Linked DNA regions of Tribolium castaneum. The protein of the gene in region 1 interacts with the protein of each later gene in a pairwise test. Links are inferred from orthologs where the notes say so. Each region holds a gene or a part of one and is shown in the gene's direction. Other genes may lie near its edges.

Region 1 (4,161 bases):
ACTACTATTGTTTCGACTGTTAAATATTCGGGGAAATACTCGATTATTTAAATCAAGTTGACTTGATTTGGCATAATCAGCTTACATTAATCATATTATTTAAATATTAACAAAAAAAATGGATAATTTCGTAATAGTATTTTCAAAAATAGTAAATAGGTGAAGGTAATGTAAAAGAATTAGCAAAGTTTTCGTTGCAAAACTTGCTAAATAATAAGATTTCCACATTTTCATCTCTCAAGATAAACAGAAGAAAATCTTATTGAGTTGTTTTATTTTTGTCTAATCTTTATCGCAACTTATAGCGAAATTTAAAAAAAATCCCTACAAAGGTTATTGCTGCAGCAAATAAAAATTACAGGGGAAAACAAGTTTTTTTTTAAATTTGTATTTTACATTTGTCATCAACTGTTAACTACTGCTTTAAACTACTACTCTGTCTCTATTCAAGGAAAAAAACAGTGATTATCTGTTGTTATTATTACATTATTTCTCGTTTTTTTTTCTGAAATTATAAACGGCTAAATTCTGTGTATAAGTTGAACTAAATAAACTTGTTTTCTTGGAAAATGTGCCATTACTTTGCAAAATTTACCTATCAATGAAAAAAATCCGCACGTGTTTGATGAGCAATTTCGGTGTAAAATATTATAAAAACTGATGAATTATGAATCTAGCTTAATTAACTCAATTAATAAAATGTATCGTTTTTCAGAAACAAAATTTTGTAAGTTGTTTAAATCAAAATAATAATTGCAAAATTAGTCATATATTTTGTGATGAGAAACCAATAAATCTATCGATATAAAGTGCAAAACCTTAAAATATTATCTGTTAAACTTTTTAACCAGGTTATATCAAAGAAAATGTGGAAAACATTTTTTTTAATTTAATACGTTTCTACAATATAACTTTCTAAAATAATATTTATAAAAATATACAGAGTTTCTCTGTTATTATTAAAACATTTGTGAATCCGATTATACTCTATAAAAATATTTTGAAAAATGAAGACTGAGAGGAAGTAAAATCAAAACTTCAATAAAAACTCTTGAATGGACAAATGTCGTGCTTATATCGGCCAAAAAGTATTGAAATGAAAAAATTGCGTTCGGGGAAATACTCGATTTTCCAAAAATCAACAGATGAAAGTCACTAGATTTGGTGATATAGGTGGAGACACTTCTCGGAGGATACTGAAGGAACCTTCCCACTTATATAAAAGATAGGTAAACATCTCGTCTAACGTGTACTAATTAGAAAAAATATGATATTAGTTGTTACCATATTGCAAGATTTATTTATTAAAAAAACAGTGAAGAATTCTCATTCTCGTCCAAGAACATTCTCTTCGTAATCCGCGCCTGCGTACTAGACCCGGCAGACTCGCAACATTTGACTGTATTCAACATGGAGATTTTGATTACAAGAACATATAATTTCTAGATAAGTTCCAATTAAAGATGTGTAGTGTGTTTGGTCTTACGTGTGATTTGTAATAAATAAAATGTCTTCCAAGAGGTAAGTTTCGTAAATTGTCCAACAGTTCGCCCGCACGAGCCTTGTCAGTCTAAAAGTTAACCTATTTTTCTTATTTTTGAAGTCATCGAAAAGCTCGAATTAGCCCTCTAAGCCTTTGAATGTTTTAGTGAATTGAAGAAACTGTCTGAGGAGAGTTTGACTCGTCAGCCGGAGGAAGTTTTCGATATAATATGCAAGCTGGGGGAGGGATCTTACGGGAGTGTTTACAAAGCACTCCACAAGGAATCTGGCCAAGTATTAGCAATTAAACAAGTACCTGTGGATACCGATCTTCAAGAAATCATCAAAGAAATCTCAATCATGCAACAGTGCGACAGCCCCTACGTCGTTAAGTATTACGGGAGTTATTTCAAGAACACTGATCTGTGGATTGTCATGGAGTACTGTGGGGCCGGCTCCGTCTCCGACATCATGAGGCTGCGCAAAAAGACCCTCACGGAGGACGAGATCGCCACGATTTTGTCCGACACCCTCAAAGGCCTAGAATACCTGCATTTGCGTCGGAAAATCCACCGGGATATTAAGGCCGGTAACATTTTACTCAATTCAGAGGGCCACGCGAAGTTGGCTGATTTCGGCGTTGCCGGGCAACTGACGGACACCATGGCGAAAAGAAACACTGTGATTGGTAGAACATAATCGCGCCACAATGGCCGCGTTTTTTCACGTTTTGTTACAGGAACCCCTTTTTGGATGGCTCCCGAAGTTATACAAGAAATAGGATACGACTGTGTTGCTGATATTTGGAGTTTAGGAATTACGGCCCTTGAGATGGCCGAGGGTAAACCACCCTATGGTGATATTCACCCCATGAGAGCAATATTCATGATCCCAACCAAGCCGCCCCCTTCGTTCCGGGAGCCTGACAAGTGGTCGCCCGAATTTATCGACTTTGTTAGCGTTTGTCTTGTTAAAAATCCCGAGGAAAGGGCGAGTGCCACTGATTTACTCAGTCATGTATTTATAGGTATTAGCACATTCCCGCAGTTCAAGTCACTCTAACCTTGTTTTAGGTAATGCTAAGCTCCCTAGTATTCTAAGCCAAATGATTCAAGAAGCACACGAAATTAGAGAAAACCAAAGTTATAGGAATGTATCCTCTGCTGCTAACATTGTAGGCGTTAGGCAGAACATCACTGAAGAATCAGTAAGTTTGACAACAAAAATTGAAACTTTTAACCGATTCTTCAACAGGATGATGAAGTAGCTTTAGGCAATCAGACTATTCTTCCTTGTACAGATGAAGGCACCTTGGTACCCGGCAAAGGTGGCACTTTACTGCCAGTATCACAGAGTGGTACTTTAGTAGAGCTTGGAACCATGGTTATCAACAGTGACGTTGACGAACAAACCATGAAACGTAAGTTCAATTAATTGCACACAAAGATCTTAAATTTATCTGATAAAAAAAATTGAGCGTGTGAGCATTTTAAAAACTAAATAATGACTCAATTAAAAGTAGCTTTTGGCTCTAAATCAATCATATTTTGTAATTTCATGTAAAAAATGTCTAAATTTATCGGTATAAAAGGTAAACTGTTAAAATATGTCCTGAAAATTGCTACTTTTTACAAAGGATTGAAATAACAGCCTGACCATTTTTTTGGACCAAGTTATACCAAGATGGTGAGATAAAGGTAGCAAAGAGCGCCACCTATCGGGGTTATACCAAATAAGAAAAAAGTGTTCCTCTTATTGATTAACCGGCAATCGGAAAATTAAACTTAATTTCAAAAATAATATTTGTGGAAACATACAAGTGTTTCTCTGTAATCTTTAAACATGAAACATATTTGGTAGCATTTTGCTTTTCCTAATTCGCCCACCACAAAATAAAACTAAATTGTAAGAGCTTTAATAGTGACAGTCACCGCCAAATTTCCTACGATTTTTGGAAATAAAACTGACTTATTTAATAATTTTATAACGTAAATATGGAATTGAATAACAGAAAACATTAGCAGCTTAATTATTATCTAATAAGGTAAGGTATTAATAAAACTTGGTAAGTCTGTAACAGTGTTCTTAAGAATAGTAAATAAGTAAAGGTAAGATAAAGTAGATCTACCAAAGTTTTCACTGCATTAACGTACGAAATAATGACTTCCACCTTTTCATTTTTCAAAATAAGCAGAAGAAAATCTAATTGAGATATGTTATTTTATTTTTGTCTAATCTTTATCGTAACTTATAACAAAATAAAAAAAAGGTTATTGGTTCAGCAAATGAAGTTTACAGGATATTTTTTTCAAAAGTTTTTATTTTACATTTGCCGTCTAGAGGAAAATTGACTGTTGAATGCTGTCTCTATTCAAGGAAAAAACGGAGATTATCAGTTATTATAACATTTCTCATGTTTTTTTTTGTTTTTTAGTGAAACTGTAAACGACTAAGTGGTATTTTAATAATGCAATAACAAAACTTCAATAACACAAAATAATTAGAACTTGATTTTTTTATTTTAAATCAATCGTATTTTGTAATTTTGTGTAAAAAAATATGAGCATTTATCGGTATAAACGACAAAATGTCAAAATATTTCTTAGAAATTGCTACTTCTTCTACTTCTACTTCTACTCTACTTCTACTTCTTCTACTTCGTAAATAAACGGATCGAAA
Region 2 (4,241 bases), on another chromosome or scaffold:
AAATATTATAGAAATAGATATTCTTGAAAAAAAGGAAGTTGCTTACAAGTACTTTTTGCGTCCAGAAATTTTATTATTTAAACTTAAACAATTGTATGTAAATTAACATTGCATGGCTGTTGTATTTTATGTTGTAGTTTAAAATAAAGAGTGTATTTTAGTCAATCATTTTAAATAATAAGCAAAATCTACTAGTAAAAAACATATTGAACAACTATGTATATCCAGAAATGCGCAAAATATGGGGTGTTTTATTTAGAAAAATATATAAATTTGCACTGTAACATTTTTTGGCTAAAAAGTTTTTTGGGATTAACTTTGATACAAATTTATTTAAATATTTTTTAACATACCGACAGTCAATAGCTTCACCATTCTAAAAATTTTTGGAAGCCCCCCCCTCCAAATTATTTTCAGGATCCGCCCCTGACCGTCCCCAGTTTTACAATGTTAAATAGCACCCTATCTACTTTTTCGAAAAAAATTTCTTCTCTAAAAGCGTCATTAATTTAATGCATGATTAACTGGTCACGTGACCAAATTGAACCAATCCGATTGGTCCATTCGCTCTGTTAACTTCTAACAGCGAAATTAACTTTAACTGAGCTTTCTATAAAAAGGCCCTAAATATTTCAGAAAGTATACAACATTTCCACCAAAAATAGAAAGCGATGATTTGAAGTAGTTGAAAAACTGAACTTGTGTATTTTTTTTTAATTCTTATCACTATCTATCTTATCACTATCTGTTAAATAATTAGAAAATTTTTGATTTGGTGCAAACATTTTTTGGGCAATGTCAACTCAGTTTTATTTATAACATAGGAATTAATGACAAAGGCGATTCAACCGGCGACTAGTTTCGGATTATTTAATTAAACCATCCTCAGCAAGAGGTGATAAAAAGTAAAGTTAGAAAGATACCTACTTCATAAATTGAAAATTAATTACGTTTTAAAATTTAAAATCAAGGATGTGAGCTTTTTTCGGTTGTTTTTTTTACTGTGAGCTTTTTCCGTGTGAGTTTTTTCGACGTGGGCTTTTTTCTTTGTGAGCTTTTTTCTTCTGGGTATTTATGTTTGTGGGCTTTTTCCTGTGCGCATTTTTCGCGTGGGCTTGGTGTTGGTCAAAAAATTTCGGAAGCAACCATCCCAAAATTTCTGTAAGCGCACCACGCGATCGCCCCCCGAAGGAGGCTATCGGCAATTTCCCATGAGGAATGCCGCGCTGCTCGAGGAATGTAACCTCTAGACGGGTACCAAACACACCTGAGCTGGGTACAGTCCCAAGGCGCGGTGGTACCGCGTCCGCGCTGGGCCGCGGTACCACTAAGTTGGCTGCGCGGAGTGTCCGCCCAGCGGCCCTGGCAGCGCGTGGAGGTGCCCCCCGAACGGGCCGCTTCCGCGCGCAGAACCGGACTGGGCGGGCGCATTCCAGCGATGTTTTGCCGCGGAGTGTACCTGACCGCTCCAGAGTTGAAATAGGGAATTTAGTCGAAGAACACCTTTGCCGGTTGATAGAGACGGCGCTCTCTGGCTCTGCGAAAGCACGTGTGTGGTGCCTGTGGGTGCTCTGTGTTGTGAATTCACCCGAATTGGGAATTGCGCCGGAATGGGGCTGCGGAGGGACGGTTTTTCGGATTTTTCTTTCGGCACATGGTGAGGATTCTTTCACAGAACGCGCGCTTATTTGCCCAAATTCCAAGGAACTGTGTCAGCGATCAGAGCATTGCTTCAATTTACACTGACGCCGATTTACAGTGAAATTTCTTTATAATGAGTCGTGCCCATCACAGATTAACGCGCCTCTCGCATGGATGGACACGGATTATTTCATCCGAGCGCTTTTTTAATCACATAATAAAATTACGGCTTTACAAAGTAATGCGGTTAAAAGTGTGGGAGGAGTAAACAATCAAAACGCGTTCCTATTTTGAGTTTTTACCTTCACAGTCCAACTGACAAAAAGTCTACACCAAAACAAAGTGGGTTGTTATTTGAAAACTTTTCTCATGCTCTATGAACAGGTGCGAGTGCGTTATTAAAGGTCAAAAAGGCACAAAACCAAAAGTCGGAACAACAATAAGTAGAATAATTTCGGATTTTTTTAAATTTTTGTTACACAAGCTTAATTGGCGCAGTCGGTAGGGTGGGGTTTTAGTAGTAATAATGCCTAACTTGAGTGTAAACAAAATTTCAAACAAAAGCCTTTATCTAAGATTGGTCGACACAACTATTGCATTAAACGGCCTTTACACCTGATTGCAATAATTGCAGTTTGATGGTCTTGTAAAAAATCAATCAAATGTTTGAGTTATCGCTCTGCGTTATCTCTATACATGTTATTTGCTTTTGAGCGAAATTTTCGTGTTACACTTACTTCCTACAAAGTTTACTCATTCAGTTATCGTTTGAGTCATAGTAGGAGGCGGATTTATTGTTCTGTCACCTATGAACAATTCATTTGTGGCAATAATAATAAATTACGATTTTGTAAATATTTTGAAATATTGAGATGATATTATTTCGTCGTACGCTCAAATTTACGCGCATTTTTTTTAAATGTACTAAATTAAAATTTCATTAATTGACCAAAGAAAAACAAGAGGCGAGTCCAATGTGTTTTTTTTTTGCATACCAAAAGCATAAATCCCAGAATCTAGACTCAAAAATTGCTTGCCGTGTTAGCAGTAAATAATTAGTTTAAGTTAATACGATCAAAAATAGAAAATGTTAATTTATTTAACAAATATTAGCGATTTTACAAATCAATTTGTTGTATAGCCAAACCCTCAAGCGATATGTATTCACTTTTTTTTAATAATTGAAATAATAATAAATAATAAAAAAATATAAATATAAATAAATAATAATAATAATAGAATAGATGTCTTAGGAGTAAGTGTATAAATATTTTAACCATAGATGACGCATTACAGTAAAACCTCTGAACAACGGACACCGATGGGGAATTTTTAATTGTCCGTTGTGGAGAGGTGTCCGTTTTTCAGAGGTTTCACTTTACAAATAAATTGATTACAATTTTCACTGTTAAATGATTATTAAAAAAACCACTGCATGCCAAATTTTATAAAAGTTGGATAGGTATTTTTAAAGACAATATTTTTAGGGTAACTTTTGGTGGCTAATAAACTCACTAAGAAACGTTTAAAACATTTTTTTAAAGCTTAATTAATGGTTAATCTAATATTTGCTCGGTACATCCTTCATAAATGATTACAGAGTAATAAAAAGGGCCTTAATTTTTAAAAAATATTCAAGAAGGGGCGAAGGAACAAGAAAACAATTATCCTTATTCTTCCTTAAGGAATTTATCAGTTAATTAAAAACCATTCTTTCAGAGTTTATGTTATTCTTATATTTTGAATCTTCTTAACTTGTTAGTGCTTTTGAAGGCAGAAATCTTGTACATACAGTGTGTTTATACGTTTCCAAGGGAGTTATAGGTACAAGTATTTTGCAATGCTGTGCAACCAATGAACATTATTTTATAAGAAAAAAATTAATTTTCTTATTCCCATTTTTAGTTTTTTCTTAACAAAAAAACACGAAAATTTTATAAAGAGTCAAAATGAAAAAAGGTTTTCATGGAATGCTGGCTTTTGTGTTTTTGGTTTCAATTGAAACATGTATATTTTCTGGCTTAATTTTTTAAATTTAGTTTAATTTTTGCAATAGTGTGCATTTTTATTTATTTAAATCTTAGATCTTAGAATTAGATCTAGTGTCGGTATAAGTTTCCAATCGTTTTTTTTTCCTAATTTAAATTATCCTTTGCGTATACAATATGAAAAAAATTGCAATCTTTTGGAAAACGCGCTTTAATTTATTGCTAGTTTAGTTCAATTTGCAAAAAAATTAAATACCCGTAAAGATATGCGAAAATTGTGAAAAGTAGCTAAAATAATTTCTGTGACAGATTATAACCCAAATCACTAATGTGGCTGACAATTAAAATAAATTCCTAGGTTTGTACTTTTAAGGACGAAATTATTATTAAAATAGTGTTTTTTTAATAAAAATATTAGTATCAGATTCTTCTTCAACTTCGATATTGTAATTGTAAATATTTTTCCAGTCGCTGATATGTTATTGTTAGACAAAAATTACAATGGTTTTTTTCACATTTCGGTGAGGAATTTTCCCAGAGTACCGTTTTTTGCGTGGAATTTCATCCCATCACCAAAACGGCATCAGTTGCCATTCTCGTGTGGCTTCAAAA

What was found.
Region 2: the proteins of hpo (region 1) and ex interact in a two-hybrid assay, tested with the Drosophila melanogaster proteins (2 studies listed by BioGRID). The link is inferred for Tribolium castaneum from reciprocal best matches to the Drosophila melanogaster genes hpo and ex.

What each region holds. Positions count from the first base shown.
Region 1 is NC_087403.1:7,370,077-7,374,237, reverse strand, and holds the start of hpo (serine/threonine-protein kinase 3), read left to right. Parts: upstream 1-1,361; 5' UTR 1,362-1,507; coding exon 1,508-1,521; intron 1,522-1,649; coding exon 1,650-2,170; intron 2,171-2,221; coding exon 2,222-2,509; intron 2,510-2,555; coding exon 2,556-2,689; intron 2,690-2,736; coding exon 2,737-2,902; intron 2,903-4,161. UniProt on the Drosophila melanogaster protein: Plays a key role in the Hippo/SWH (Sav/Wts/Hpo) signaling pathway, a signaling pathway that plays a pivotal role in organ size control and tumor suppression by restricting proliferation and promoting apoptosis.
Region 2 is NC_087395.1:21,723,523-21,727,763, forward strand, and holds the start of ex (protein expanded), read left to right. Parts: upstream 1-1,437; 5' UTR 1,438-1,657; intron 1,658-4,241. UniProt on the Drosophila melanogaster protein: Activates the Hippo/SWH (Sav/Wts/Hpo) signaling pathway, a signaling pathway that plays a pivotal role in organ size control and tumor suppression by restricting proliferation and promoting apoptosis.